2 linked regions of the Lonchura striata genome follow. The protein of the gene in region 2 interacts with the protein of the main gene of each other region in a pairwise test. Links are inferred from orthologs where the notes say so. Each region holds a gene or a part of one and is shown on either strand. Other genes may lie near its edges.

What was found.
Region 1: the proteins of TNIP2 (region 2) and STK11 interact in binary tests that used the Homo sapiens proteins (3 or more experiments, as listed by UniProt). The link is inferred for Lonchura striata from reciprocal best matches to the Homo sapiens genes TNIP2 and STK11.

Annotation. Positions count from the first base shown.
Region 1 is NC_134630.1:6,447,515-6,463,870, reverse strand, and holds the start of STK11 (serine/threonine-protein kinase STK11), read left to right. Parts: upstream 1-7,876; 5' UTR 7,877-8,794; coding exon 8,795-9,084; intron 9,085-14,106; coding exon 14,107-14,190; intron 14,191-16,356. UniProt on the Homo sapiens protein: Tumor suppressor serine/threonine-protein kinase that controls the activity of AMP-activated protein kinase (AMPK) family members, thereby playing a role in various processes such as cell metabolism, cell polarity, apoptosis and DNA damage response.
Region 2 is NC_134606.1:9,217,647-9,233,616, reverse strand, and holds TNIP2 (TNFAIP3-interacting protein 2), read left to right. Parts: upstream 1-8,194; coding exon 8,195-8,644; intron 8,645-10,702; coding exon 10,703-11,008; intron 11,009-12,717; coding exon 12,718-12,801; intron 12,802-13,338; coding exon 13,339-13,620; intron 13,621-13,992; coding exon 13,993-14,112; intron 14,113-14,611; coding exon 14,612-14,893; 3' UTR 14,894-15,655; downstream 15,656-15,970. UniProt on the Homo sapiens protein: Inhibits NF-kappa-B activation by blocking the interaction of RIPK1 with its downstream effector NEMO/IKBKG.

The sequences.
Region 1 (16,356 bases), on a different chromosome or scaffold from region 2:
CTCTTTCATGCTTCTCCTTGATGTATTTTTGGGAAGTTCAGACCAAACAAGTAGATGGGAATAGGACTCAGTCCCGTCACCAACACAAAGGAGAACACCAGAGCGGAAAACGCGTATTATGGGTGACAAAAATGGAATCATTTCAGGGCATCCTAAGCCAGCACTTGGAGCCACCCTGATCTTCTGAATGCTTTGAGCATGGAAAAGGCTCCTGGGACACAAGGATTGCAGCCCTGGAGCTGGGCACAGCACTGCCAGGCTCCAGGGCAAATCCCGGCATCGCCTGGGCACCACAAGTCAACAGGGAGCTGCAGCGTGGAACAATCCGTGCCACCAATTAACTGAGGGAATTAGTCTGTAAGGAAAGGGAAGAAAAATCTGGATCATTCCAGAGATTCTTGCAAGCGCCGTGGCAGTGCAGGCAAAAGAACAAACCTGCCCTCCAAGGACAGCAGTTTCTACAGGGAAGAGCTTGATGCTTCGAGCAGTACTTGTTGCTCTTTGTCTGACACTCAGACCATACAGGAAAAAACAATCAAATACAGTTTTTTGGAGGGAAAAGTACCCTTTAGGAGAAAATATTAACTGCCCCCCAGAGATAAATTCCACCTATCCCTGCTTTTCCACCTGGGAGAACACATAGAACTATTTCTAGACAGGGCAAAAATGCCTCCCAGACACCACCCACGCTCTGCCAAGGAACTCGGCACATTCCTGTGTAAATCCATCCAGCATCACCCTCACACATCCAGCACCAACATTCCCAAACCACAAACACATCCCTGCAAGGCAGAGCTAGGGCTGAAGCAGTGGCTCAGACACCGGGTCCATGGAATATTCCCAAAACCAGGGCTTTGGGCACTCCCCAGCACAAGGCAGAGCCTGAGCAGGGCTCTCGGAGCACTGGGGCTGCTCCTCTTCCACAAAAAACTTGGCTAAGCAAGGTCAGAAGCCAAGAAAATGCAGGTCCCAGATTCCTTACACTTTTTCCCCAGTTTCTCTCCCAAGAGACACTTGGGAGAAACCCTCTGGACCTGAGCAGGTCCCAACGTTCTGTTTCACACACAGCCACTCGTGGTAGAAAAACCACTTCAGGACATCAAAGCCAACTTCCCTACGGATTAGGGCAGCCTTAAGGCAGATTCAACGTGCACCTGCTCCGTGAGAGGCATGTGTTCACTTTGATCACACCCACACTTGTGCAGACCTCGATTGTGTAACCAAAAAAGACATCAGAGTTTTAAGTTTTAAGCAGAAAAGTGTTTCAGGAGAGTATAAACCTCCCAATTAGGCCTGGAAGGCTTTCCTGAAGGATCCAGACTCTCATGGTGACAAGTCCCAGCGCAGTTTGCTCCTGTGCAGAAACCTCCCAGCAACATTCGAATGAGACGGGTACAGGCTTATTTTAGGAAAATGAGGGTGCAAACATCCAAAAAACAGACCCTCATCAAGTAAAGAGCTTTTGGCAGAGATAGCAGAGCTCAGGCTTCCAAAAGCTCCAGCTGGCAGCTTATGGAGCTCTGCAAAACCTGCATGGGACACACAGCACTCCCAACCCCACAGCATCAGTATTAGCACACCATTTTCCACTTGAACATTCCCACCACCAGCTGCTCTTGGTTCAGCCATTCCCGTACGGCTCAGGACGAGCTCAACTCTTGGATGACACGAGGATGATGTGCAGCAGGAACAGCCCCAGCGAGGCGCAGCCGACCACAGCCAACACCCTCCTGCCCTCCAGACTCACCCCAGGGCCAGTGCACGGACCAGAAAACCCTCCAGGGGTTGGGATCCCAGCTTTGGGTTGCCAGTGCTGAACCTGCAGGACCTGCCCATCTCATTTCCACTGTAAATCAAGCCTGCTAAGGGGGAGCCACAGTCTTTACACTGGAATTTATGGTTACTCTGAGGAGTTTTAGACCTGGCACTAGTATTTAATAAGGTGAAGCCTCTGGTATCAGCCCAGTTAATGGTCTGACATCACTGGTTCCAGAATGCAGAGACTCTGAATAGGGCCAGTACGGGCTGCACCACAGCAGAACCTCGGTGCATGATGGATTCATGGCTCCACACTGACACAGAGGAAGTTTGGATCGGATATTAGGAAATCCTTCCCTGTGAGGAGGATGCTGAGGCTCTGATTGCTCACAGAAGCTGTGGCTGCCCCATCCCTGGAAGTTGGAACCCTGGAACCCAAGGCCAGGCTTGGAGCACCCTGGCATAGTGGAAAGTGTCCCTGACCATGGCAGGGGGTGGAACTGAACGAGCTTTGAGGTCCTTCCAACCCAGACCACTCCAGGATTCTGTGATCGCTGTGCAGTTTTCACAGCGCTCCGTGGAAAAGCAGCTGAAGAGGGAGTCAGAAACACGAGGGTTCCGTGGCTGTGGCCACCCGGGCTGTACCGGGACAATTCCCCATCCGGACAGGGCTGGAGGGGTCCGGGCTTTGCTGCGATCGCAGCTCCAGAGGCTCCGCAGCACCTCCGGCTCTCTCCGGTGCCGGCACAGCCCCGGGCCCCGCTCCACACGCGGCACGGACACGCGTGGGGGACACGGCTGGCGGCAGCGGGGCCGGCCCCGCCGTCCCCACAGGCTGCTCCGGGCCCGGCCCGAGCCCCGCAGCCCCCGGACTCCCCGCGGCACCGACCGACGGACCCGGGACGGGCCCGGCCGGGGGCCACGTCCCCAGCGAACCCCCCCAGCCCGGCCCCCGCCCGCGGAGAGACCGGGCCGGCGGCGGGAAGGCGCGGGCCCCGGGGGCAGCGAGCGGGCGGCCCTTACCTGTGTCCGGGGGTGGCGGGCTGCCGGGGTCCCGGGCGCTCCGCGGCTCAGGCTCCCGCCCGGCCGCCGCCGCCGGGCGCCGCTTCCGGGTCCGCCATGCTGGGAGGGCCGCGGAGCTTCCGGGGAAAGGGAGGCGGCGACCGAGCGGGAGCCGGGGAGAACCGGGAGCGGGGGAGTGGGGAACAGGAGAACCGGGAGCGGGGGAGCGGGGATGCGATACCGGGAGCGGGGGAGCGGGGATGGGGGAACCGGGAGCGGGGGAGTGGGGAACAGGAGAACCGGGAGCGGGGGAGTGGGGATGGGGGAACCGGGAGCGGGGGAGCGGGGATGGGGTACCGGGAGCGGGGGAACCGGGATGGGGTACCGGGAGCGGGGGAGTGGGAATGGGGTACCGGGAGCGGGGGAGTGGGGACGGGGTACCGGGAGCGGGGGAGCGGGGGAACCGGGAGCGGGGGAGCGGGGAACAGGAGAACCGGGAGCGGGGGAGTGGGGATGGGGTACCGGGAGCGGGGGAGCGGGGATGGGGGAACAGGGAGCGGGGGAGCGGGGATGGGGTACCGGGAGCGGGGGAACCGGGAGCGGGGGAACCGGGAACGGGGCAGTGGGGAACCCCGGGGCAGTGGGGAATGGGAGAACCGGGAACGGACAGCGGGGAACGGGAGAACCGGGAACGGGGGAGTGGGGATGGGGGAACCGGGAACGGGGGAACCGGGAACGGACAGCGGGGAACGGGAGAACCGGGAACGGGGGAGTGGGGAAGGGGGAACCGGGAGCGGGGGAGTGGGCAACGGGAGAACCGGGAACGGGGGAGTGGGGAAACGGGAGAACCGGGCCCGGGGCAGTGGGGAACGGGAGAACCGGGAGCGGGCAGTGGGGACGGGAGAACCGGGAGCGGGGGAGTGGGGATGGGGGAACCGGGAACGGGGGAGTGGGGACGAGAGAACCGGAGTGGGCAGCGGGAATGGGAGAACCGGGCCCAGGGGGGTGGGGAACGGGAGAACCGGGCCCGGGGCAGTGGGGAACGGGAATGGGAGAACCGGGAATGGGGGAGTAGGAACAGGAGAATCGGGAGTGGGCAGCGGGGAACGGAAGAACGGGGAGTTGGGTAGCAGGGAACGGGAAAATGGGCCCGGGGGCAGTGGGGAACGGGAGAACCGGGAGCGGGGGAGTGGGAACGGGAGAATTGGGACTGGGCAGCAGGGAACGGGAGAACCGGGCCCGGGGGCAGCGGGAACGGGAGAACCGGGCCAGGGTGGCCCTGAGTGATGAACAGACAGCGAGGCCCGTGCCTCCGGAGACCGGCAAAGGCTCGGGGCAGAAGGAACCCACGGGGCAGAGGGAGCCTCCGGGGCAGAAGGAATTAAATGAATCACAGGGCTGGAGAACTACCTGCTCTGACCATCCCAGGCTCCTCACCCGTTTTCCCCACACTGGGCCTTTTAATATTTTTAATTTCCCATTGCTTGCATTGAATTCATGCCACCTTTGGAGTCCCAAGGTAGGAACAAAATCCTGAGGGGTCACACAGAAGCCTCCTGGATGGGTCTGTTTTTACACCAGCACAGGAGCAGCCAGAGGGAACTGATTTATCCCCAGGATAGGAAGTACTGGCAGATGGGAACCACATTAACACCGGGTCCTTGGGAATGCTGGGTGTGTGCCAGAGGCAAAGGGGGAACCAGGAAGTTCTGTGCCGGTCCGCTTCTCCCATTCTTTATTCATTTGCATATAGTGATTAATCAAGGCAATCCTGCCACATTTTCCAACATCCTTCTTACAGGGATCTTTCTTCTAAATCCTCCCCCCCAGCTCTTTATTTGGTGTTCCACAAATACAAATAAATACGCACAGTGGGAGAACACACAGGGATGTATCCAGCACCAAATCAGCCTCCTCCTAGAACCACCAAATCAGGACTTCCCTTACCAGGATCTCTTTCTCCTCCCACCACAGCCGAGACCCCAATTCACACAGAAACCCCAAGACAGGCAATGAAGCAGAAGTGATGCTGAGCTGGGAGCACTGAGGCTGTCCTGTGCCTGCCCTGGTGGAAGATGTGGGGACATGGCTGAGTTGTGTCCTGGTCTGTTTGCCCCTTTACAGGAGCAATGTCCCTGGAAAAAAGCCTGGCTTCTCCAGGAACAGCCCTTCCCAGGCAGCTGGTCCCTGTCAGACACCCAGTCTCAGGAAATGGGGACAAAGATGGGCGTTTTTGGGCGCTGATCCCATGGGCTCAGCTGCAGAGCAGCTCCACATTGGGGTGTGCCGGGCTGCTGTCACCCACTGCCACTTCCTGTTTCTTCCCAGAGCCTGGAAATCCCCTGACTTTCCGTGGGGTGAGGGCTGTGGAGCCATGCTGCCAGCTGGCCCTGTGCCCCCAGAGCTGTGGGAAGAGGCAGCCAGGGGACAGACCCTGCCCTGTGCAGGGTCCTGGCAGTGCGGGGCTGGCGCTGTGCAGGGGGCATGGATGGGACCTGGCAGGAACCGTGCTGGGGTGCCAGGGTCCCACAAAACCATTCCATGTCTGAATAAACCCTTCTGTGCCCCCTTGGCCGGGTTGTTGGGCTGTGGAGGGTGAGGGGACAGCTCCTGCAGTGCCCCATGTGCCACAAGCTTGGCAGGTGTCAGCCAGTTCCCCTAGCTTGTGACGTCCTCACTGGATGCTGGTGCAAATATTTGGGAAAACCCAAGAGCCTCTGGCTTTGCCTGATGCATCCACAGCCCCAATGTGGGACAGGCTGAGGGGTTTGGGGGTACCTGGGGACACCCCATGTGAGTTCTTGGCTTGCCCTGCTCCAGTGACCCATTCCTGCAGAGTCGAGCAGGATTTTGCCTTTGGAGGGGGATCGTTCTGTCACCCTGGTGGGAGAGGGAGCAGAACAGGCAGTGGGATGGGCAGGGAGCAGCGTGTGGAGTGCCAGGAGCTCCTCCAGCCGATTCTGCCCTCCCACTGCTGGGAACACCTCGGGAAGGGGATGCACAGCACTTACCAGAATTTCGGGGATGGGTTCCAGAACTTTGGACTCGGCGCCAAGCCTGGAGTAAATAAATCACCCAGGGCCAGGGGCTGTGGTGACAGAAGCCGTTGAGGGAGGAGGGAAAGGCGGTGCTAGCGGGATTGGAGAGCTCGGCAGAGCAGCCCCCTCCTCTACACTCCCTCTTCGGAGCCCTTGGAACCTCCTCCCGAACCTTCACAGGCTCAAATTCCTTGAACAAACCAAATTCCTTGAACAAACTGGAGCGTCGCAGTGCTTTGACCCTTTGGGGACCCAGGGGGCCCTGATCCTGCCCAGGCCCCCCCAAAACGGGCTCAGGGCTCTCCCACCTGTGCTTTGGAATTCATGCAGAGCTAATGGCTCTCATGGAAAGGAAGAATTCAGGGATTTGTCCTGCCCTGCCTCAAATTAACTGGTCAGCTCTGGGAGCTGGTGCTCCCCATTGCAATCCCAGCTGAATCCCTTTCGCCAAAGGGTTTCACAGCGGGGCAGGAGGCGGCCGCAGGGGCATCGCGGTTCCTCTGAGCTGGCACTGCACAAACCCCATCTACCGGCACCGGTTACCGACGTTCCCGGCGGGAGCAGGCACGGCAGAGGCCGGAGCTGTCCTACCGCAACTCCCCGAGCAGGACAGGGGACTCCGGTATCCGGTGAAACCGGGAGGAGACCCCTGAACGCCGCTGCGGGGGGAGCAGCGTTGTGCAGCCCGATCCTTCCGAGCCCCCGGAGGGTGCCCGCAGGAGAAGCGTCTCTGCGGCGGCCGGGGCCGTGAAGGGGTGGCGGCCCCGGGAGAAGCCCATTCCCCCGGGCCGTGCCGGGGTCTGCCCGGGGCGCTGGAGCCGGGCGCCGTTATTTTGGGGATGCCCTCGCAGCTGCTTGGCTGGACTTGAGCACAGCTGGGCAGGAGGGGACGAGGTGCAGCCGGCACCGAGCGGACACCGGGGGGGAGCGGGGCCACCCCAAACCCGAAGCGGCAGCGGAGCGACCCGGGCGCGGCAGGCGGACCGCGAGGGCGGCGGGGCAGGGCCGGTGCCCGCCGGGGCAGAGCCGGTGCCCGCCGGGGCAAGGCCGGAGCCCGCCGGGGCAAGGCCGGTCCCCGCCGGGGCAAGGCCGGAGCCCGCCGGGGCAAGGCCGGTCCCCGCCGGGGCAGAGCCGGTCCCCGCCGGGGCAAGGCCGGTCCCCGCCGGGGCAAGGCCGGAGCCCGCCGGGGCAAGGCCGGTCCCCGCCGGGGCAGGGCCGGCTCCGTGCCCGGTCCCGTCTCCATGACTCCCGCCTGCCCTTTGCCCTCCACCCTTCACGTCCCACCGCCCCGCCTCCGAGCGGTGATTGACAGCGCTCGCAGCCTATCATATCGCGCCGCAGGACGCAAGCCCCGCCCTCGGTCGCGACGGATATTTCCAATGGCCTATCACATATGAAGTTCACGTGAATCCCCGCCTCTAATAGTGACTGACAGCCCGGTTAACCTATCATATCGCCCCGCCGCCGGCCGGAGTGGGTGGGAGGGTTGCTTGTAACGAACCAACCGGAACCCGACGTGGTGCGGCCGCAACCAATCAGCGCTCGAGCGCTCGGGGACGGGGCCGACAGCGTGGCCAATGGGGGCGCGCGCCGGGGCGGCGCGAGGCGCGGAGCGGGGCGGGGGGGGGGGGACGGAACGGCGGGGGCGGGCGGGGACAAGATGGCGGCGGCGGCGGCGGCGGCGCGCGCGCGGCGGGGCGGGCGGTAACGGGGCAGCGCGGCCGGGACGGGGAACGGGACCGCGGCAGCGCCAGGGGGCAGCGGCTGACGGGCGGCCCCTGAACTTGGTGGGGGACACGGGAGGCGGCGGCTCGGCGGGGCGGAGCGCGGCGCCGGGGCCCGGCCCGGCTCCCCCGCCTGGCGACGGGGAGGGGGGACTCGGCCCTCAGCCCCCCTCCCCTAGTTCACCGTTTGGACCGGCGGGAGCGGCCGGAGCTGCCTGCGGGGAAGGACCCGGCCCGGGCTGGGAAGGGCCCGGAGGTCACCGACCCTCCCCCGGGAGTCCGCCCCGTCCCGGCGCTGATTTTGTGGCGCTGAAAAGTGCCCCGTCCCCTGTCCCCCCTCTCTGCTCCCCCGCCGTGCCCTGCCAGCCGCGGTGACACCTGTGGGAAGTGCGGGAGGGACCGTCCGGGCCGGGTGGGCATCCCTGAGCCCCGTCCGTGAGCGGCCGGTCACCGGGCGGCCGGTGCCCCCGGGAGGAACCGGGAGTTGGGGCAGAGGGTCCCCCTGACCCCCCCCGGGGTCGGCGGGGCCGGGCTGGGTTGTGTCGTCCTGCACCGCTGACACCCGGAGCAGAGGCGGTGACACATCATGTGCCAGGCGGAATCCCGGTGGATGAAGGATGCCCCCGGGAGCTCTCGGTAGGCACCGAAGGCCTCAAACTTTTGTAGGCGACAGCGAAGACGCAAGAATTGTTTCGGAAAACTCCTTCGAGGAAACTTGGTTCCAGCTCCCCAACGGCTGAACCCCCCGCACCCCGCCCGGGCCGTGGGAGCACACCTGCCCACCCCAGCTGGGAATCATGAGCTCCTAGGGATGGAAAGTCACGAGAGGGACTGGGAGCTGCTCTGGTTCCACGGGGTGGCCTGACGGCCTGGAGATGACCTAACTCTTTAGGATCAAACTGGGCCCAGTCAAGGCCAGTTGACTGGGAAGAGCCCCCGGCAGCGGGACCGGGTCGGAAGCAACGTGAGTCCCAAACTGAGTGTGTCCCGTCACAGATTTATGTTCTTTTTCAAAGACGTTCTGGAGCCAGGCCGGGATCTTTTGGCATCCAACTGACCTGGAAGCAGCTCTTAGGTTTGGTTGTTTTTTTTTTTTGCCTTCTTTTTTTTGGTTGGTTGTTTGTTTTTTTTTTAATTATTATTCATGTTTGTACAATCTTCTGGATATTTTTTTCCCGAGAAGGAGTAAAAAGGGAGTGTTGGAAACTTAACAAACAGGATTAAAGCCCTGAGCGCTTAAGGAAAAAAACAGGTTAAGGAACTTAATCCAGGATGGATCTGCAGGAGCCCCAGCAGCTGGGAATGTTTGCTGAGAGCGAGCTGATGTCGGTGGGGATGGACACGTTCATCCACCGCATCGACTCCACCGAGGTCATTTACCAGCCCCGGCGCAAACGGGCCAAGCTCATCGGCAAGTACCTCATGGGAGACCTGCTGGGAGAGGGCTCCTATGGCAAAGTCAAGGAGATGCTGGACTCAGAGACCCTGTGCAGGAGAGCTGTGAAGATCCTGAAGAAGAAGAAGCTGCGCCGGATCCCCAATGGGGAGGCCAACGTGAAAAAGTGAGTAAAGAGTTCTGGGAGCCGAGGGGGTGAACTTGGTCCTTGCTTACCAGCTGAGCTCCTGTGTTGTTTTAGCTGACAGCATGGCTCTGCTGTGGAAATGCTTCCTAATCCACAGGTATTTAGGGATCTCTTCCCTCTGAACAGCAGCCAATGCTCTGGGTAAGGCTGGGCACAGGGAAGGGACAGGTTCCCAAGGTCTGGGACAGTCTGGAATACACCACTTTGGTGTCATTTAATGGATAAAATATTGATTCTTAAAGCAATTCCTCTGTGTCCTCTCACCTTTCCCAGCCAGCTGCACCTGGGCAAGGTGAGACCTTACAAACACACTTGGTGTCCTCACAGGGTTATTCCTGTATCTGCCCAGGTGTGTTCCAAAGGCCCTGGAGATCTCTGTGGTGGCAATTCCTCCTCCCACCCATGTGGAAGGTGGCTGGAACAGGATCCAATATATGGGGCACCCCATGGGCACAGGAAGTTTTGGGTTTTTTCCTTGGCTTCATTTCTAAGATCCTTGGGAGTTTACTCAAGGCTCTCCCCAGCTGATTTCTGTGGCTGTAAAATGGGGCCAAGGGTTGTCAGCTCTCTGTGCCTCCACCACACCTGGTTACTCAGGGCACAAAACCCTCATGGAAGTGAACCCCAGGAGAAGCCAGATGTGGGGCTGCATCCGTGGGGCTGGTGTGGGAACTTTCCCTTCCCTGGACCTCGCAGCAGCTGCGTCCCAGCCCTGCCAGGAGCTGCTTATCAGCTGTGCAGGAGCCTCTGCAGCCCAAACAACCCATGAGGGTTTATCTAGGCTGGGAGGGAGAGCTCCGAGAGGTCGAGGAAACTCTCCTGGTGCTCTGCTGCGGGTGAGCCCTGACCTGCAGAGTCCTGTGTCTGTCCCTCAGTTTGATTTCCCAGTTTAGCCGTGGGATATTTCACATCCTGTCCCGGGACTGCTGTCAGGGTGCTCTCTCACTTTGCCTTCCAACCTTTTTTGACAGCCTTGGCTGTGGAACAGTCACATCCCAAGGCTGGGACCTCCCTGTCTCTCCTTTCCTGGCTCAGGTTCAGGAGCAAGCAAACTTGGTTAATGTGTAATAAAATGTTTCTTGTTTTTCTGGTGGAGGCTGAGAGCCCCGTCCCTGGGTCCCTCCACGGGCACATCCAGAGCTGCCACTGGGGAACGTGCAGATAGTTTCCTCCTTAGGGAAGCTTTCAATGTAAATTAGGTAAAAGAGCTTGCCCACATCAGGAGAGTTCCCTGCTCTCAGAGCCATGGGAATGCTCCAGTGTCCTGACGTGAACTCCTGGAGGTTTTATTCACGCCCAGAATGGGGCTGTGAGTATCAGATGGGCCATTAAGGGAGTTATTAAAAGGGGCTTTCTGTGGATGTTTCCTGGCTCAGCCCCACCTGCTCCAAAACACCAAGGCAGATTTTAGGTCTTGCCTTGTACCCAGGGGTTTACTTTAGTTCAAGTTCTTATTTCTGTTCCCTCATCCTTTTCCTTCTGCCCACCTATCCGTGTGCTTTATCTGCTGCTTCAGTGGGGAATTTTAAGGCAAACTGTTGTACTTTGTGGTTCCCTGGTCCCCCTGGCACTCTGAGCTGATCAGCACTGCTGTGAGAGGGAGTGCACCCTATGTCTGCTCTGGGTATGAGATCTGTGACCAAACCCGTGTGTCTGAGTTGTCAATGTGGGAGGAACAGGGTGCTGTGGAGTCTCCAGGTAGTGCTGGACAGGACACTGACACAGTATTTTAATGTCAACATGGCCAGATCACTGTGTTGGAGCAGCTTTGAGGAGTTTATGCCCAAAAACTGCTCCTGTGCACAGGACAGCAGGAAATCAGTTTGTGGGCTGGATCAGTTTGTGGGTTCTGCTTTCGCTTTTGGAATCTGATCACTGAAGTGGTTTCCAGCGTTTCCTACCACAGGGAAAAGCTGCACATGAGGCTTGGGTTGTTGGGCAGAGGTGATTGAGTTACTGTGGTGGGCTCCTGCCTCTGCCCCCTCACAGGGCACCTCAGTGCTGCTTCAGCTGTGCTGATAGCATGTAATCCAAGGAATTCCGTGGAATACAGTTCCTAGACAGTGGCCCCTGGGTAATTCCACAAGCAGTAACACACAGGGAGGAATGAGAGTGCAGTAATGAGCTGTGGAGGCTCATACAGGTCTGAGCTGGAGATGTTTGGCTGGAAATAGGATGATAATGCCAACCTTAGGTCACTCCTTGTTGATATCCCAGGCCACAGCCTCATCTCTGCCCCAGCCCTCTCTCCTGGTGTTCTGGAGACCCAGAAATTACAACTTAAATGTGTTTGGGACTTACATCAAATCAAATGCTTTTTCTCTACCCCAAAATACTCCACTTCTGCCCCAGAAAAATGAGCCCTGAAGGGCTCTCCAAGTCATGGAGAGGATGTTGAGGGCTTGAACTTTTAAGACACAGTTTCCTTAAATCTGTTGGGAGAATCTTCATTTCTCTTTAGAGCAGGTGAAGGTGGCTCAGTCAGGCAGACACTGCAGAATCTCATCCCTGCAAAAAAAAGGAGTTTAGTGGGATTGCCAAAAAGAGGCAGGAAAACCTGGCAGCCTGTGGCTGCAGCAGCAACAGAGGTTTAATAATGCCGTGTGCTAATAGCCTGACACGTTAATTAAGTGTTTGGGGCTCTGTGGGATCCCAAGTGCCCTGTGCTGTACTTACCACCTCGGCAATTGCTCTGGTTGGAATTTGTGCTCCTTGGGAATTCCTCGGAGGGTCAACCTGGGTTATGGGGCTGTGCTGGGACAGTTTGTTCCTGGGGTCTGCAAGTCCCATGCTGGAACCTCCAAACAGGGGAAGGACTTGCTGGAAGCCCTGGAGGTGTGAGCTCAGGGAATGGGCTGATCCCTCCTCCTCAGAAATGTTCCCCGTGGAGCCGTGTGGCTCAAGGGTTTCCTCTGCTCAGCTGGATGTTTGCTTGGGTGAAATGCTGGGACCTGTACTCCAAGGAAGAGCACAGATTGTGATGGATACAGAACTTGGAATGCCAGACATCCCTGCAGGAGCAGGATGTGGATGGACCCTTGGGACTAGGAAAGAGAAAAAGTGACACCGAAATCTTCCTGGCACTTCCAGCCTTTGGGCTCACACAGTCCTGGAGAGGTGCTGCACTTCTAAAGCTTTTAGGATGTTGTGGGAAGAACCTTGTGGAACCAAAGGCAGGGAATGAATCTTTTGGCTGTGTTGCTGGGTTTTGTTGAGGCAGGAATGGCTCGGAACAAGCTGGATCTCACAGTGGAGATGTCCAGGAAGTTTGCTTTCCTGGCTGCCTTTGGCATGTTCCAAAGTGGTGTGGCACATGGAACAAGGGGGAAAGCTTTGCTATTTACAGTTCTGAGCAGCAACACCCCCTGTTATTTGCCAGAGCTGGTACCTTGCAGGGGATAAGTCTTAATCCACCAGGATGAGCTTAATGGATCTGACAGAGCTCGAGTTAGGTCTTTTCCCCCCTCGTCTCCTTCCAGTGGGTTGTACTTGGAAGCAGGTCTTGTCCTCTGGCAGTCTGTCTGGTCACACACTTGCAGTGAGCTGTGGTGGAGTTTTGTTGGTAGTTTTGAAAGAAAAAAAAAAATCAAATTTAGGCCTGTTCTGAGAAGGTGAGACCTGTGCTCCCCTACTCCAGGGGTTTGCAAAGTGAGATGGGATCGGAGGTGACTGGGCTGGCTGTCCCTGCTCCTCAGGCATTCCAGAGCAAGAGAGGAGCTAAAAATAGAAGTAATCTTTCCTCTGGGAAAAGGGTGGCTTGGCCTCTGCCCCAGTGGTGGGGGCATGGCCCTGGCGTTTTGGACTGGTTTGCAAAGGCCTCCTGGGGGGGGAAAAATCATTACAGAAATATGAGATATTTATTAGTCTGTTGAAGGTGGGAGGAATTAGTGTTTGTGCTTCCGGGCTGTATTACAGGGAATGAGCTGTTGGGATCAGGATTTTAAATGTGTTCCAAACACTTGGGCCTTAAAGCAGTTGTGTTTGAGTGGGTTTGCTCCCCTCTGGCAGCCCTGGTTGGAGCCCTCGGCCCTTTCATGCTGCACGATCTCCTCAGCTCCACACTGACAGTGGCTGCTGTTCCTTGTGCTAATTTAATCCCCTTCAGCCCTTTGGTCATTCCTATAATTAGACTTGTCTGCCATGTCCACACAATACTTGGGAGTTTTGCTGTGGTATCTTGGGTCTCTGCTCGGCTCTTGGTGGCTTCTTCTAAATCCAGAGCTGAGAAAGAAGTCTCTGGCCTTAACTTTGGTAGTGAAATAATTCATACTGCTCAGGCATCCGTAAAAGATCAGTAAGGATTCTCCTTGCACTCCTGCATCAGAGAAGCTCTTTCCAAGGAGCAGCTCCTGGTTGTTGCTCAGCCTTTGTGCGAGCCCCAGCTCATTACTGGAGCTGCTAATTGTGCCCGTGAGGGGCTCTGAGCTGGCTTTGGGCAGGGGCTCTCACTTCCAAAGCTGTGCTCAGAATTCCTTGTAATGCTGCTTCCCAGTGGCTGAGCTGATGAAGTGTGACCACACTGCTCAAAGCACTGGCCAAATCTCTCTGGAAGTGAGCTGGCAAGGAGAATTTGGAAGCTCAGCACAGCCCAGGATGGAGCAGCAGCAGAACAAAGTGAAAAGCAGGACGTGCACTGCCAGGCACCAACAGAACCACCCTGACCTGACTGTCCTGCTCTGCCTGTTTCTCCACAGCTGGCATCCAGTGGGATTTTGCAGGATGAGTTTAATGCAAAAGAGACTAAACCGTGGTTTGGGGCAAGTACAAAATCCCTGGAGACAAAAATCAGAACAGCTGACAGTAGGTGACATTCAAGGGACTCCTCCCCAAGCCAAGGGAAGGTGGCTCCTCACTGTTTTACCTTATTTATTCCCCACAAACAAAAGATTCAGTTCAGGTCTCTGAGCCATTCAATCAAGCTGAGTTTGGGTGAAATTTTGGAAGAGATGGAGTTGGGAATAAGCTTTTTCAATGTAACTTTTTCCTTGTCTATTCCTGCAGGGAGATCCAGCTCCTGCGGAGATTACGGCACAAAAATGTCATCCAGCTGGTAGATGTGTTGTACAACGAGGAGAAGCAGAAAATATATCCTTTTGCACAGGGCTGTTGATCAGGTTTGAACTCCCACTGTTCTCTGCTGTAGTTCTGCTTTTGGAAAGGCCCTTTTGGATGTTTCTTTTTCTTAAATTTTTGCAGCTAAATTGATTTCACTGTTAATAACCATCCTGCCTACCTGGCAGACTTTCCACACAAACACAAATTCACACAGATACTGATCAAGGCAATTTTATCCTGACTTCACTGGATTTTGTGTGACTCTGCAACACTGAGAACACTTTGCCTGGAACCACTGGGGAAGTTCCTGGATCTGATCCTTTGTAGCATATGTTATCAATGGATCCTTTTATTTTTGACAGTGTTTTCTAACTACTGTCTCCTTATTACAGTACTCCAGAAAAGGACTAATTTCATTGTGTGCATTAATTAGATCAAACACTCTGCCACCAGATCATTAGGATAAAGTATTGTGACAACTTCTGCTTGTGCTGTGGCCTCGACAGAGTGAGGGGACTGTGAGTCAATTATTGATAGACAGATCCTGTTTAATTAGGTAGAAGGGAGGAGGCAGCATGGGGAAAAGGAGCCCGAGAGAGACATCGTGTGTTGGTACCAGGTGATGACAACCCAAAACCATCACTGGGAAATGGGATCTCTCCAAGGATGCTCCTTGCTGGACTTCCTGAGCAGTGCTGGTCCAGAGTTGGTTTTCAGTGCTTTTTCTTTTCAAGGACAGGTTGACTTTGTTATTTTTATCTTTATCTGCTTCTACACTCTCACAAAGTTCATTTCTCCCTGTGCTGATTCTGGCAATAATTGGGGGAATTTGTTTTCACTGGAACTTGCAGCAGGAATTCATCCATGATTTTGTTCAGGCCCTTCCCCAGCTCCTGACTGGTGCTGCTGCTTGTGCTGCGTGTCCTGGGCTGTGACAGAGCAGACCTTGAGCAGCCACATGAGCATCAAGTTTGGGAAGAGATCCAGCAGAAGAGGGATTGTTTCCCTGAGGCTGCCCTGGGGGCAGGGCCCTTAGTCATGCACAGGGGCAGAGTTGGGGTTTAGGGGAAGATGTCAACTTCCCCATTGGTGATTAAAAAGGAAAATGCTGATTTCCAGAACAAGCAAGTGGGATTGGAAACTGGGGCTGTGGAAGGAAGGATTCTGTTCCCTTCTGTGCACTGCAGGCTTGAGCTGTTTGTTACAGAATGGCTTGGGTTAAAAAGGACATTAAAGCTCATCCCATTCCACCCGTTGCCATGGGCAGAGACATCTTCCACTCTCCCAGGTTGCTCCAAACCCCATCCAACCTGGCCTTGGACACTTCTAGGGCTCCAGGGGCAGCCACAGCTTCTCAGGGAAACCTGTGCCAGGGCCTCACCGTCCTCACAGGGAAGATTCTTTTTCCTAATCTCCCATCTAACCCCTCCTCTCTGTCAGTGTGAAGCAATTTCCCCATGTCCTGTCACTGTGTGCTCTTCTAAAAAGTCCCTCTCCATCTTTCTTGTAGGCTTCCTTCAGGTTAAGACAGTGTTTGAGCAACTCAGCTAATAAAAACCTTCAGTGATTTTCTGTGGGAAAGGGAAAGCTGTGGTGACAGGATTAAAAATATCAACAACTTTTAGTATTTAAGGGCTGTTTGCTGGCCTGCTGTGGCTGGGAGTGCAGAGCTAGTGGTGAATGGAGAGCTCATCCAGGCAGAAAATGAACCCAGTTCCATGAGCAGCATCCCAGGGATCCCATTACCAGTGTGTACAGCTGAGTGTGGGAGCAGAAGCCCTTGAGGAGGAGAACTGAGAGCTTGGGGCACCTGTAATAGATCTGCTCCAGCCTGGAAGTCTGTTCTCTAATCTGATTGATCAACCTGAAGTGGATCAGTGACCAGGGAGGGGTGAGGAGCAGCCTGGCTGTTAATGACACCCAGCCAGGCTGTCCTTGAGCCTCTTTGCTCCCCAGGAGCTGGTCTGGATTATCTACCATCACTGTTATTCTCCTGACAGTGGGAGAGTTGATGTATTCCAAATCACTGATAGAAGTAGTTCACAGAGTTCTTCCAAAGGAATGAATTTTGGGAGCTCTTTCTTCTGTTCTTGCTTTTATTGATTTACCAAGAGTCTTAATGCCCATCATAAATTATGGTTTAGGGTATATTTAGAGTATTTTGAGGTCTCTCTAAATAGCAGCTCATGGGGAATG
Region 2 (15,970 bases):
ATAACAGCAGCCTGACCAATGCTGTGTTTGAATCTGAGCCCAAAGCAGTGCTGGTAGCAGAGCAGTGCTTTAGCTATTGCTGAACAGGGCTTGCACAGCCTCAAGAGAAGGCTGAGGTGGGCAGGACAGCTGCCCCCCAGTGACCCAAGAGATCTTCTGTGTCACTGAGCATCATGCTCAGCAGTCAAACGGGGGGGTGGTGGTGTGTCAGAACAAGCCATTGCTCAGAGGCTGTCTGGCCATTGGCTGTGGGTGGGAGGTGGTGAGTGATGCCTTCGCATCAGTTGTTTGGTTTCTTTTTCTTTTCTCTGTTACTAAACTCTCCTTACCTCAGCACACAAGTTTTGCATGCATTTGCCCCTCTGAATCTCTCCCCCACCCTGCTGGGGGGTTCTCACCTGCCAGCTGGGATTCACCCATCACACTCCTCTAGTATCTCTGGAAAGAAATAATGCCCAAAGCATGGCTTTCTTCTCAACAGCTAATCAATCATTTGGCTACTCTCACTATCACAAGTGAACTCCTCTACTCCACTTCCTTTAAGTTTACAAGAAACCCATAATTTTGCCTACAGGAAAGAACCATGAACCAAGATTCAGACTCATTATCTGGCAAATTCATAGCTTTTCTTTCATTCTGAGACACTTCCTGCATAGCTCACAGGAAATAAGAGATGAGGGTGATTATGTTTCATTATTTTTAAAGCTGTTGGGTCAGCTAATGGCCACACCATCATGTCAGAAATCTGATTTAAAAAAAAAAAAATACAAGGAGTTGTTTTATCTCTAAGGCCCAGTAATGTTGGTGCAAATGTGATATACAGATAGAATAGAAGCAAAGTTTGTAGGGAAAGACAGACCAACTGATCTGAGGAAGCAGAGATGATTCAAGAGGTCTTTGTTATTTTTCCAGGTACAGCAGAGGATCCAACAAAAACACTCATCCTCCAAATCTTCTCTTATAGCAACACCTATAAATTTTTAAAATATGTAATTTTAGTAAATACAATATTACGACAATATTATAATGTGCTCTCGGAGAAAAGGGAGTATTTCCAAAGTTGCTTACATGAAAATTGTGACTTTGGTGGAAATCCTTGAAATTCAAACCCACTGTTTCTGAAAACAGTCCTTTTAAAGGTGTCTATGTGTCTGCACACCCTGAAACTGGAACATCACAATTATACTAAATCTGACTTACTAACCCCCAAGTGAGCCACTATATAGAGTATTCCAGTGTAGAAAACATTTCTTATTTTATTTATGCAAGGCCTAACAGAATTAACTTTCTCACAGTGGACTTCCAAGAATTTCAGTTATAAACAGACAAGTATGTTAATTAAAAGGTCATAATGGGTCATTCTGTTGAACCAGTTTGAAGTCATTAACTTTGAGGTTTTCTCTAAAAATTAAGTAAGGATAAGCCCAGACTGATGTGATCTTCATTCCATAGACCAAAGACTTAATATTCTGCAGCATTTTTGTCTTTAAGGCATCTACAGCAATGTCACTATTGTCGGTACTGGAAGATTCACATGGCAAAGCAAATTAAGCTCTTACAAAACTTACTCAAGTCAAACAGCAAACTCAAGGGAAGAGACAGCAGAAATCAGTGTCAATCAATTCTTAAACTCACTCCATTAGATAGTGGCCTCTCTATTTGTTCAGTTAAATATATTAGTAGCTCTCATCAGAAACTTAAATAAAAACCATGCATCTAGAATCCCCTGTAGTATTTCCTCCATAGCTTAGGGCTAGAAGATAGTAAAGGTTTTGCCAATCAGCCATCTACCCTAAAATGTACATTAACCCAATAACAATTATAATATATTGCATAAATTTAAAACAATTAATTGGAAAAATCATTTAATGTAGAGCTGGAAAGATTTATTGCTGAAGACATAGGCATATTTCACTGTACCAGAAGTTCCTATGCCACCAGGTAGCTGAGACACATTCAGCCATGAAAACAGCTACAGTGGTTTTTTTTTTTCCCAGGAATTATCACTTTGAAGAAATACATTATTTTTTCTTGTGGTTTCCTGATTCTACGTTCTACAATCCATACCTACTTGCGTGTCCACATTAAACTAATTTATCGTGCTAAGGCTGAGAAGATACTGGCATGCAGGCTCCTCAAAAATACTATTTTTCCAGATTCCATTAATTCTGTTTGAGAGCAGAAAGTGTCAAAATGCTTGTCTGCTCAAGCATAACCAGTGACTGAGAGTGTGCTTACTCTGGCTTATAACAAAAACACACTTGAACAAGAGCTGAAGTTTTCAGTAGCTGGTATCTACATGGCATTAGTTCTTCACTTCAGTCTGAAAAGCACTACATTAATGACTTGAATTTAAAACTCTGCTGAAAACTGCTTTTCCCTTTCCTGCCAGGATGATTGATGGATTTTCTGCTTTACAGATGGAGCCCCAGAGGAACATAACTGTGCTGTTTCTTGCCTCTGAACTGGACATTAATCAGAATTTTAGGAAATGTTGCTATTTTGGTGAAAGAAGAATGAATGGTGTGGTAAGGACACTTCTACTTTCTAGTTCTAATTACTTAATTCTTCCCAACAATTCTTCCATATTATAGTTCTGAAACTATTTCATCACCTAGTACCAAGGACATTCTAAGAAGTATCCAAAGTTTCTTTTTCCTGATTTAGAATTCTAGTAGAATTTAATTCCTACGTAACTATGATTTCTTTTGAGGTTCCCAATAGTCTTAGGAAAACCTTTCCCTGTTATCCTTTAAAACAAACCTTTAAAATGAGACATTTAAATCAGAAATTTATCTAACCAAACTCTATAAGTCTGTTTGCTAAAAAGAACAAACTAAAGATCAAAAATGTTGAAACTGGTTTTGCTCTAGTTAGAATGAGTGGTCTTGATCAGAAACATCATGGACACCACTTTAGGAAGTTTCATTACATAATATTAATTCATTACATAATATTAACATATTAAACAAATCTGCAAACAGCTAAGTTTTTACCTGAAAACTTTTTGTTTTCAGTCTTGCAAGTGAATGCCAAGTACTTATTCAGAATTAATAATTTTTTCCCCTCAGTTTAAAATTGGCTGGCCTTTGAGGAAGGCTGAATAACAGAAATCAGAAAACTCACAATACTCTATATTAATCAAAGCAGAAAATCCATTTAATATATACAGAATCCACAAAAAGTCTGTAATATGAATCATATATTAAGAGTTAGGAAAGTATTTCCTGCAACACACACAAAAAAATTGTCTGCAGTATTTCAAATCATCAGATTTAGGAAAAGGTGTCCTATGACAACTACAAGCCAACATATCCTGTACTCCTCAACAGGAATAAATAGATGTGGGCAAACCCTAAGGTTTTATCCAGAACAAGCTCAAAGAAGAAACTTGCTTCTAAATAGGAGTGACCTAAGCCTGTAAGGAGAAAGCCTCCACTTGCTGAACACTTACATGCACCAGAGAGCTTTTTATGTTCTTGTGAATAGAATCACAGCTCAAAAAGCAGTGACATCATGATAAGGTTTTCTAAAGGAACAAGGAAACTGCTTGAACTTCTTGGATGCAGGGGCAGCATCAGCACTGCAAGAAATTCCAGTCTGCAAGGTCAGACTGAGGCAACTGGTACTGCTGTGCCATGAGCACACCAAAGAGAAACTGCAGAAGTGAGACAATGCAGGGGAAGCCAAAGCAGGGTCTGAAATACTGAACATACAGCCAGTAAGCACAGGAGGGTGAACTGCAGCAAAGACCCAAAGCATTGAGGAAAAACAAAGCATAGCAGAAAGCTCTTGCCCTGACATGGACACAAACAGATCAAGGACTTGTGACAGACCCAGACAAGAGTGTATCCAGCTTAGCCACTGACACCCTTATGGTGAGACTGAACCACCTTAGTCCACAGAAATATGAAAGAAATTCCTTTTAGAGAAAAGTGCTGGGACTGCTATGGATCTGACCAATGTCATGGCTTTGTATGGCTCATCCTGGTTATTTCAGCCTTACTTTGATTAAGAACAGGGCCCTGGGACTCTGCCCTCTGCATCAGAACACTTTTGGTTTTTACATCCTCCAAAAAGGCAAACTATGCAAAAACCAAAAACAAAACAACAACAACCCAAACAAAACAAACAAACAAAAACCCCACACCAAAAAAATACCTAAACAAAAAACCCCCAAAAAACAACAACAAAAAACCCCCACCAAAACCATCAGCACCACCACCATACCAACAAAGCAGGGAAAAATCTTACATTAGAAATAAATAGACCCCACTCTATTTTCCCTAGCTAAAGTAAATATTTTGATGTGTGTAAACAGAAACCAAGACTGAAAAAGTAATGTTTTGTTCCAAGTCAGAGCCTCAGTGCAGAGAGATGGCCACATATGTATATCACAGCAATGAGTTCATCCAGTTTTGGGAATCCTGGCAGCCCTCTGGCCAACCTCTCAGTGAGTTTGTCATTCCAGCAGTAAAATATGTCGAACATTGTCTCATCAGAACATCCAACACAGTGATGTATAGAGAGGATGTTTAGTCCTGCCCATGGAAGTACAAACATGCCTGCAGCTCATAATTATTGTTGATCTATGAGTCACAAAAGCACCAACATTTCAGTTGTTTAGCATGAAAATCAGATTTTTGGTCACACACAGAGCTCTCTGGCAGCATCTTATGTAGCAGGGAGTATATCAGATTATTTTGCAGGTTATTTTTCCCCCTCTTGCACTGCATGATCTACAGCAAAGGAATTTATTGGTGGGTTATTTTCAGCCTACAGCAGCCAGAGGATCACATATTAATTTCTAATAAGCTCTGTTTAGGTAAATTACCTCAAGACAATTCTAACTCTTTTTAAGTATCATTATGTCACAACTTACCCTCCAGGACAATTAGTGGTAACTTAAGACAATAGGGTAAACCACAGCTTGATTGGCTGAATGACATCTAGAGTTCACAAGTAAAAAATTACGATTTCTTACAAATTGAGCAGAGGTCACTATTTATAAAACGGCAGGACCCCTCCATTATGTTGTATACTCTTGTCCACGGATAATTACTCTTTTAAATACAAACGACTCACAAGACTTTCACCAATGCTACAGAAATAGAACTGCTACATTTAGATGAATTATCCTTACCCCAAACACATAACTCATGCTTAAAAATTAAAATTGAAATATATGTACATTTATGAACCTTTAATTAATCATACTGTTCACCGTTTTTATTTTCTGCTTTCCTAGAAGCAGCTTCACCTTTTGTTTCTAGGCAGTATCTAATCCCTTTTTTTCACGCATCTCACACATTATAATAAGTTGTGATGTGCACATAATTACTCATTCAAAACAGCTTTGTTAAGAGTTCTTTAACAAAATCTGAGGTTAAATTTTTCCCATATGGGTTTAATCACATCTATCCTGTAACACCCTACTGAGAAAAAGTTAAAGTGAACTTCACCTTATATTTAATGTTGAAACCAGTACAGTATGGAAAATAAAGTTTTTTTTCTTTATATTGTCATGCAGAGCATACCTGTTGTTCATACAATATTTAATAACCAATTATGATTGTGCAACCCAAAGAATAAGTGTGCCACAGCACAAACCAGCTGCTTTATCAGCAATCTGGGTAAGGGTGCAGGAAAGGCAATCCAGGAAAAGCCAGGTGCTAGAAACATGGCGAGATGTGACTCATTCTTTGGCAGCAGCTTCTTTGACTGAATTCCCAGGAATTCCTCTGCATTTCAGAAGTGACAAAAGGAAACAGTCATCGAAGGGCATTCCCAAGTACATGTGGGATTAGCTTCTTACTCAGCACTTACGTAGGTCAAATTTCCCTAAAGTCAGTGGTGTTTTCCTGGGGGAATGCTGGCTTCATCCAAGGCACCAGTAATACCAAATTTTCCATAAAATTAAGTACCATAAAATTAAGTAATGCTTAATTTTAAATAATTTACCATAAAATTAAGTAATGCTTAATTGTAATATACTAACACAATACTACAAAGGTAGCTATATTATAAAGGATTCGATTTGGCTGCTAACGAAATTCCCTGATGCTTGGTCTGAGGATATCACTGCCCTATCTGCAAACATGGGATGGCCAAATTTCCTTGTAGTTTGTGAATTAATTGGCAGGAAAACAAACAATTCTCCAGTACCATGGCTTTTTCATACATTTCTACAAAATATTTTGACAGCCAGCAAAAGCAGTCTTGCTCCAAATTCTTCAGTTAGCTCTGACTGCAACACAATAATGAAAATGTAACATGAAGCCTATGTGGTTTTTTCACTTTTCTTTCTAATGTACATGAAAATGACGGGAAAAGTACAGGTATTTTAAAGCAGGAACTTTCTTCACGGCAAAATCAGCATCTTAAGGATGTAGAATACCACTCTGTACGAGTAAAAACTAAAAAATTATATTCCCTCAACCTCCACACAGATTTTTCATTGTCCTAAATCCTTTGATACTTACAAAATTAGGTGAAATAGCAAATAAGCCAGGGACCTGTACCATAAACAAGTGCTTTACTCTTTTCTGTCACACAGGGGTCTCTGTGCAACAAGCTCCTATAAAAATCAGTTATATTTTTAGAAACAACTAAGCTAACAGACTGTTTTGAATTTATTACTCCCAATTCTTACTAGAATAATTAAGGTGACAAAGTAATGACTTTCCACCTCAAAAAACTTGATTAAATCACAGGATAATTCATTATAAGAGGAACTTCAGGAGGTCTTTATCCATCACCAGGGTGACTGACAGTCTCAACTTTGAAGTTCACCATCTTTTCCTTTCATCATGTTCCCATTCCTGTAAATTCTTCCACACAAATTAGTCTTTGCTCTCTTTTTATCCCGAGACCTGCCAACACAGGAGGCTGCTCTTTATCACATTGTCTAAAGTCTTTTCTTTTTGCTGCCTCCACCAGCAGCATGTGATGATTTCCACTTGCTGTATTTTAGGCACTTAGGCCAGACAAATCTCCCATGATTGTGCTGAACCTTAAGGCTGCACGCACACATGGAGCTCCATGTTGTACACATTATGATACACATGCATGCACATACATACAATAAATACTATTGCAAATCATAACCAAATGTAACCTGGGACTTATTCTTGTACTGGTTTAAGGCTCTTTCCTCCCACTTGGTTCCATCAGAAAGGCGACATGGACATAACTAAACCAATCCAAAAGACGCCTTCTTTCAGTCCAGCTTTCCATAGTCTATGAGTATGTACACCAGTGTTACTCCATGACAGGGATATTCTTGATTAACAAGCTCTGTTCTATGCTGCCAATAAAAAAGTCTTCCGCCACAGGGGCAGCCGGTGGGCAGCAGCTTATTCAGTGTGAAGCAGCTGATTTTGCTCTCATCAACTCATCCTCAGAGTACACGCACTGGTTGGTGATACGGATTTTGACGAATCTGAATTTTGGATTTTGGTGTCTTCGAGGTCTTTGCTAAGGAAAGACTCGTACACCTGGCCAGGTATGCGGCATGCGAGGGGGGACATGCTGCTCTGCCTGGGTCCGGAGCCATCCCCTCGCCAGCGATGCCGGCACAACACCAACAGAGGATTGCCAGAGAGAAGATATTGGCGTTTCTCCTCCTGCTGCCGCCGGGGCCGCTCGGGCAGACGGAGCGGGAGAGCGGAGAGCCCGAGGGTCGCCGCCAGCGGGGAAAGTCCCGCTCCGAGCCGGGAATTCCCGCAGCGGCGCCGGGAGGACGCGGCGCTCCGGGGCTTTCGCTCCGGAGCCAGCGCCGCCCGCCAGCCCCCGGGACCCTCCTGGCCCGCGCCGCCCCCCGGAGCCGCTGCCCGCGTTCCGCTCGCCCGGCCGGGATTCCCCTGCCCTCGGAGCCTCCCGCTCGCCCCCTCCCTCGCCCCCAGGTTTCTCCCCCCGCCCCCGGTGCCGGTTCTCCGGCTCGGCCCTGCCGGGGTTCCCCGGGCAGCGCTGCCCCCGGGGCCGTGTCCCGCTCTGGCCGCGGGGGAAACAGCTCCCTGCCCGCCCGGGGTTCTCCCCGGGGGCGGAGCGCCGCCCGGCCCGGCCCCGGCCGGAGAAAACAGCGGCGGCACGGGCGGGTCCTGCGAGCCCTTAAAGGGAGCGGCCGCCTCCTCCCCCGGCGGGGAAGGCGGAAGAGCGGAGCCGCTGCCTCGGTGCTGCTCCGCTGCGAGGTTTTATGCACCTGTCCGGGCTCCTGCTCGCCCTGGAGAAGGAACAGAAGGGAGCTGCCCCGGCCATGTGCTCGGTAAGCGAGGCCGGCAGCACAGACCCCTTGGTGACCCGCTTCAGGCAGGTGGAGGAGACGCTGGAGAAACTCCACCGGGAAAACAGGAGCTTGAAGAATAAAGTGCCTCGGTACAACGCGCTCTGCACCTTGTACCACGAGTCCGCGCAGCAGCTGAAGCACCTCCAGCTGCAGCTGGCGGCCAAGGAGGCGACGATCCGGGAGCTGCGGGGCAGCCTGGCCCGGCAGCGGCAGCCCGCGGCGCCGGGCGGGGATGCGGCGGCGGGCGCGGAGCCGGCCCGCTCGCTGGTGGAGAGCCTGCTGGAGCAGCTGGAGCAGGCCCGCGAGCAGCTGCGGGACAGCGAGCGGCTCTCGGCGCGGAGAGTGGAGGCGCTGAGCCAGGTAAAGCCGCGGGCGCGCAGGGAGCGGCGCAGCATCAGCGCCGCTTTCCGCGCTGCTCCCTCGGGAGCCGGGCACCGGGGCGGCTGCGGGCGGAGGGTGCGCCCGGAGCGCCCGCTGGGTGCTGCGAGCCAGCGCCGGCAGCGGGACGAGGGTTTGAGCCCCTTCGAGCGATGCCCGCTCCGGCCCCGGGGGCCCGAAACAACCGGCCCGTTTGTGTTCAAAGGGAGCGCCCCCTGCGTTCCCTTCAGAAAGGCAAACCATAAAATCTAAACCAAAAACTCAGCATCTTCATGCAACTGTTTTCAGAAGGAGAAAGAAAAACAGTAAAAAACTCGCTGAATTTATTAGATGCAACGATTTTGTTCTCAAAGATAAGGAGCCGATGCCACGAATTTTTCCGTTAAAGTGTTGTGCTTAAAGTGCTCTTAAAAATGGAATTTGTATTGACAATGAGGTAGCAGATTCATATTCGAAGAAGCAGCTGACAATTCTGGAGAGCTAGATTAGGGAAATCGGTGTCTTTCTTGAAAGAAAAAAACCTGAAAACTGAATCCCTCCAAATCCAGCACAAGTGCTGTTTTGGTTACTGTCATTAAGACTTCCCCAGGTTCAGTCTGAAATTCTCAAAGATTTTTAAAGTATGAAGTAATTTCAAAACTGACAGCAGTACTTAAAACTGAAACAAGCATTTTTGTCATAAGTAATCTCTTGACCTAAAGCTTATACAAAACATTTTCCATATATGACACTCACCTAAAATACATATTAAAAAGTTCATGTTTGGAAATTTGTTATAAGAGATGAGCTCACTGACACTTTGCAGACAGATGACAAACCTATGGTATCTGAACATATTTGAAAGCTGATGCTGAATATCTTTAAAGGGGAAGTTTAGCATTCAGCATGAAGCTAAAGAATGTAAATGCCAGTAATAAGAACAAGTGCTGTTTATCTATATCAGATGTTAATGTTCATGTCTTGAAAGAATAAAATGCTGTGCCCAATCAGAAGGCTGAAATAATTGGCACTAAATAATAACCAAATAAAGAAGATATTTGTGTGAAGCCAGAGGCCAGTGTGCTGGCAAATAGTGTTCCTAGTGATTTACAGCTCTATTAGCAGTCCTAAGAACTGGAATGATAGAGCTGGGATTGCAGCTGTCTCATGTCTGCACTTGCCTCCAGAGACCCTTGATTCTGGAGGAGCAGTGCTGCAGAGGTTTTGATAGCAGCACCTGCTGCTTCTTGAGGGTGTGTAAAAACCAGCTTGTTTGTGTACCAGGTCAGAACCAGTGCCTTTCAGGTGCATGGCACTACAGGTGGTTTGCACCAGTCACCAAGCAAACCCCTTCCTTCTCAGAACACCTGCAGAGATGTTAATGCAGTGTAGATGATCCCACAGAACTTCCAGTAGGACAAGGAGATGCAGAAACAAGATACACAGTTGATTCCTAGGGGAGTGTCAGACCCCCTCATGTACCTGGGAGGCAGCTGTGGCCAAACTAGAGCCACTGCTGCCACATGGATTTTATTTTCTGCTGGTTTGACCTTACCTTACCACTCCCATCCTTTCCTAGGTGGGAAAGTTGCTCTGTCTTGTCCTTGTGACAGTGCCAGGCAGTGAATACACTTCACTGGATTTGATTACTTTACAGTTCCTTTTTTTTCTTTTGAGGAAAATCTCTATTATCTGGTAGTTTAGTGTACAGGACCTGTAAGTATTTTTCAGTCTCCACATTTATTAATCTTAAATTACTTTGTTTCTTGTTTTTCTTACTGCTGTATAGTCATAAAATCTTCCTGAATTTTTGCTGCTTGTTCTCCATTCTACTGATTAGAAAGTGCTTGCATGGCTGCCTGAGCAGGTCTTCATTGATTGATCCAACAATTCCAAGGTCTTGTGATCATACAGAAATGAAATTGATTTAGTCTAGTTTTTAAGTACTTTGCAATGAATACAGGAGCTATAAGGAATTACTGCAATATTGAAGTCTGAGATAGATTTTGGCTTTTGACTTTATTTTGCTCTTAGATAACTTCCCCTCCCCCCTCTGTTTAGGAAGTGCAGAAGTTGAATCAGCAGCTAGAGGAGAAAAATGGAGAGATACAGCAGATGATAAATCAGCCTCCGTATGAAAAGGAGAGAGAAATCTTACGACTGCAGAAGACTTTGGCAGAGAGGGAGAAGGCTCAGGCCACCAGTGATGTTTTGTGCCGTTCACTCACTGATGAAACTCACCAACTTCAACGCAAATTAGCATCCACAGCAGAAATGTGTCAACATCTGGCAAAATGTCTAGAAGAGAAGCAAAGAAAAGAGAAGGGGAATTCAGATGACCAGATACCTACAGAAAGATCTAATCAGGTATTTATACAGCTACTGTGTGTGTCTTTAAAGTCTTATTAGCTTCTATGATGTTAATTAGAATATAATAGTTGTAACTGGGAAATGGCCCTTAAAATAATTTCATGCAGGGTGTTAAGACTGCCATGGCAATGGTAAATAATTCTGCATATCTGAAATTTAGGATGGTAGCAGTTGTTTACCACTTCAACTTTGGCCATCTCATCAACAGAGGCTTTTTTTTGGAGAGGAGAAGAACTTGAGAGGTTTTGTCCAGCCTCAGCAATTCCATGATCACAGTTCTTCCCTCAATACACAGGAGATAGTACCTACCTTATACCACCCCTGCTTCTGTGCAGCACTAGATGGTGCTGTGATTTTGAAGCTGATCTCTCCTGATAACTTGTTTAAGTATCAAAATCACAAAACAAAGTAGAGATATTTTAAAGTAGTATTTATATTAAGAACTCTGTAACATATGGTCTTCTTGGATCAGGATTTGGCTTTGCACACATAGTACAGACCTACAGAAAGTTGGTTAGTGGAATATGAGCCAAGGTGTCTTACCTTTTTTTTTTTTTTTTGCTCTGGGATTCCCCCTGGCCTCCTGAGCGCAGGGCAATGCTTCTCTTCAGGAGACATGTTTTTAAAAAAAAAGCTTCATAATAGCACAGTGTCAGAAATGCTACTGCAGGGCACAAAGAAACACCTGGATTTTGGTGTACTTTGCTAATGGCTGTTGAGGCTTCAGTTAAAGTTCTCAGCATGGGATAAGGGTAGATCATTGTTCTGTTTTTCCAGAAGTCCTGATGGCTGAGAGTCATTAATTAAACATTCATTAAAATTAGGTAACTCATTAAAACGCCATAAGGAAATAACATTAGTAGTGCTGTCTCTAGTAACAGATCAGAGCAGTGAGTAGGGTGCTACAGACAGTTCTCACAAAAATGAATAATTCTGACTTATGCTTTTACTGCTACACGGTGGTAATGCTGTTTTCCACATGACCACTCATCTGTGCTGTTGTGATGAACTCTGTACATACTCATGTCTGCTTTGTCAAACATCCCAAAAGTGTTTCCAACGAAAACTTACATTAAAGTTACTTGTAAGAAATATGGGTTGAGTAGATAGAAGAAAAAAGGATTTTTAAGGGACTTGAAGGATTTGGCATTATCATATCTAAAGTGTAATTGACAGACAGGAAACTTGATTGACTTTGATATATGCAATAAGAAGCTAACCTTGTACAGTGGGGACTTCCCTGTTGAAGAGGAGAAATTTCAGATGCCATTACTAGCTGATTCTAGGGAATTTTGCACAAAAGTGTTCTATATTACTCACGTACACCGGGGTTTTTTTTAAGCAGATGTCACAGCTGTAAAAAAGGTATCATTTTAGTCAATTATTTAGCAAGCAGGGTTTTTTCCCCTCAGTAATTTCTTCCTAGTACTGGCCAAAATTGACAGTAATAACAAAGCAAGATGAAGGCATATCTGTGCCTTTGTCATGTATTGTCCCACTCCAGACAAGTATTGTAAAGAATTTGTGTAGACTCTTAAATGCTGTTGTCATGAGGTCGATTTCATAGCAGTACCAAGGCTGTAAAAACCTAGATGTACGTCATTACATATTATATAAAAAAAGATTACTTGCAGTTAACAGCACAGCCAAACAGCATCTGAGATTTTTATGTTGAAGTAACACCTAACTTTATCTGAAAATTACAGCTTTTAGACAATGAAACTTCACTTCAAGCTCTTATCTGCAACTTACAAGAGGAAAACAGGATGTTAAAACAAAAAGTAGCTCATGTGAGTACTTTCATTTTGTTACAGATTAATATTTGTTAAGTATTTTGTATTAGAGTAAATTTGAAATAGATAAGGTCTGGTTAATCTAATTACATGCCAATTACAAAGCAAGATAGTTTTTCTTAGTCCTTTCAACACAGCACATAGTTTTTGTTCCCTTAGCTGAGAACAACTTACTATATAATTTCTAACATACTGGATTTTTGTTGTTAAAAATGCAGTGCATAAGAAAATTTTCATGGTTCTTCCATGGATCAATATTCCACCCCAGAAGAACAGCACTAGGCCCATTAGACCCTTCCCTTTCCACATTATTTAATATTGTCCCTTTGGACTGGGAGATGGGAAGGCTGCCCATGAAGAGGCTGCACAATCATCTCCTGCTCTCCTGTACAGTGACTTACTCACCTCAGGGGTCGAGTCAGCATGTTACATTATCCCCTAGAGAATTTTGATCCTGCTATTGTAGACAGCCTATGAAAGCTTTGGAAGTTTGTGTCTCCCTGTTCTTCATGCCTCTGCTGGATAAACTTTCAGGTGGAAGATTTAAATGCAAAATGGCAGAAGTACGATGTGAGCAGGGATGAGTACGTGAAGCGACTCCACTTGCAGCTGAAGGAGATGAAGTCACAGCTGGAGCAGCACCACGGAGGAGCTCCAGCACCAAGGAATTCTGACATGATGCACAAGGAGATATTCCGGTTAAACAAACTACTGGAAGAAAAAATGAATGAGTGCATAAAAACCAAGAGAGAACTGGAAGACATGAAGAAGGCTAGTGAAGGAGATAAAGAGCGCATACAAATGCTGGAGCAACAGGTTATTAAGTTTCTTTTTCCTAGAGATGGGAATTCTTAGTTTCTTCCCAGACTACTGAAGTCCATGGGGAAAAAGGAATTTCTTTTTGGACATTTGCCTGTCTGTGCACGTTTGGCTATACAGATACTCAACAACACAGATTTAAAGGAAACTCACTACTTAAAGAACCCCATGCAGTTCTGCTGGCTTTAATACACAATCTGAAAGATCTGTAAAAGAAATACAAACACCTTTGAAATAAATACACATACGATAGGGAAGATAATACTGAGATGCTGGGAATAAGTAAAAAAGGAATCATAGTCTCAGCTTTTCAATCTAACCTGCTAATACTCTAATGTATAAAATATTAACATAATCATTCTCTTTCAGGTCCTGGTTTATAAAGACGATTTCACATCTGAGAGATCAGACAGAGAACGAGCACAGAGTAAAATACAAGAACTTCAGGCAGAAGTTGCATGTCTGCAACACCAGCTAGCAAGAAGACAGGTAAGAAAGCAGCATGCTCCTTCTTTAATTTAAGCATGTCAAAGGATTTGGGACTAAAATATACTATAAAATATATTTTAAAAAATCTTAGTATTTCTAAAACAGTTTCAGCTCAAAACAGTTTCAACAGCTATCAAAAACTTAGATTGTTTCATAGTTAGTTCTGGTGGAGATGCTTCAGAGTTCAGATGTAATACCCCTTTCCTGTCCCTTTTTCTTCTACTTTTGGATCAACATAGACAGGATGAATTCTTAGAAGGCAGAGGACAGCCATGACTCTTGGCATCTTTAAATTACCACACTGGCTGTATTCTATGTTTTCTACAAACCTTCTTTACAACAATATTAATAGCACTGCAAAAACTGATTAATAATTTATTTATTATACTCCTCAGATAAATATTTGAGTGGTGTTTCAGACATGGTGATAAAAATACCACCCATTAAAAAAAAGTATTTTTGTTGCATCTTTTTCAAAAGCTCTTCTTTCTCTTTCTAGGACTCAAGAGACACAAGTAGTCATTTCAGAGTTCACGCTGGTAACCAAAATCATTTGTACGTTCAGACGAATGTCGAACACCTACGAGGCAACAGCCCAGGCCAGACAGGCACGAGAAGAACAAACTCTCAGTCTGAACAAGCTTCTCCTCCTGGGGACAATGGAAACCTGGGATCTGAAGGCAGGGCACAGGGTGAACTCAGATGTCCTCATTGCATGAGGTTTTTCAGTGATGAACACAGTGATGAATTCCTCAAGCACGTTGCTGAATGTTGTCAGTGACCACAGGATGTGAGGGTGTAAGTCAATCACTACTTTTATAGACATAAAACTTGCTCTATACATGTATCTCCTACAGTCCTAAAACAGAGTAATTCAAATGGAGAGCTCTGGGGAATTAGGAGGATGAACAATACCTACCTCTTGCTTGATTTTGCCTTCTCTTCGACTGTGTGAAGGGCTTCAAGAGAAAGCAAAGTGTTTGCCTGAAGAATTATTTTTGACAGCTACAAGGAAGGCAAGTGTAATGGAGATTCTACTACAAACTAAACTGAAACCTACAGTGGTAGTTTAGCTTCAGAGTGCAGCTTGACTTTATCTAATTCTCTACCACAGTCTGATGGCTTGTGAAAAAACTTACTGAACTTGAAATTTTCCTCCTCTTCCAAAAAATGTAGGCTGAAGAACAGGAAGGAATATATTGGCAGAAGATAGGAAAAATCCTATTGTGCTTTATCCGGATTAAAAGCGACAGTATTTTCTTGACTCTTGAGGGTGAACTTTCAGACACCTGATCTGAAAATCCTTCTGTTTAACTGAAATCAGAGGAAGTGAAGAAAACATAAAAGGGCTGGTTATTGACTAAAACTAGCCTGCCATTTTTTGCACAGAAACAAGGTACAGGGATATTTATATTATCTGTGCCATAAGTATCTATCTTACAGATTTGTAAAGGTGTATTTGTGTAATTATTGTTTGTATTCCTATTTGACCTAAGGATTATTTTTATAATAAAAGTGATTGTGCATTTGCTTTACTACAAAAGGGGTCCAAAAATCTCTTTTGGTGTAAATATTCACATGTGCAATAGCGACTATACTAAGGGCTAATTAAATGTCAGGGTTTCACATGAGTTATTTCATTACTTTAGTGATAACCAGCTTCTCAGACTATTTTCAAATACGTTGAAAAAAAAATCACTCCTCATTTCTGAGTGGAAGATTGACATTTCAGAGGCACAAGAACAAATTTAACCCCCTACCCTGCCACACACATGTGACTATGTCAATGCTAACCTGAATTTTTTCTTATCCTTTCTGCACTTGAAAGAGCTTCAACAGATAGCAGGGGACTATTTTA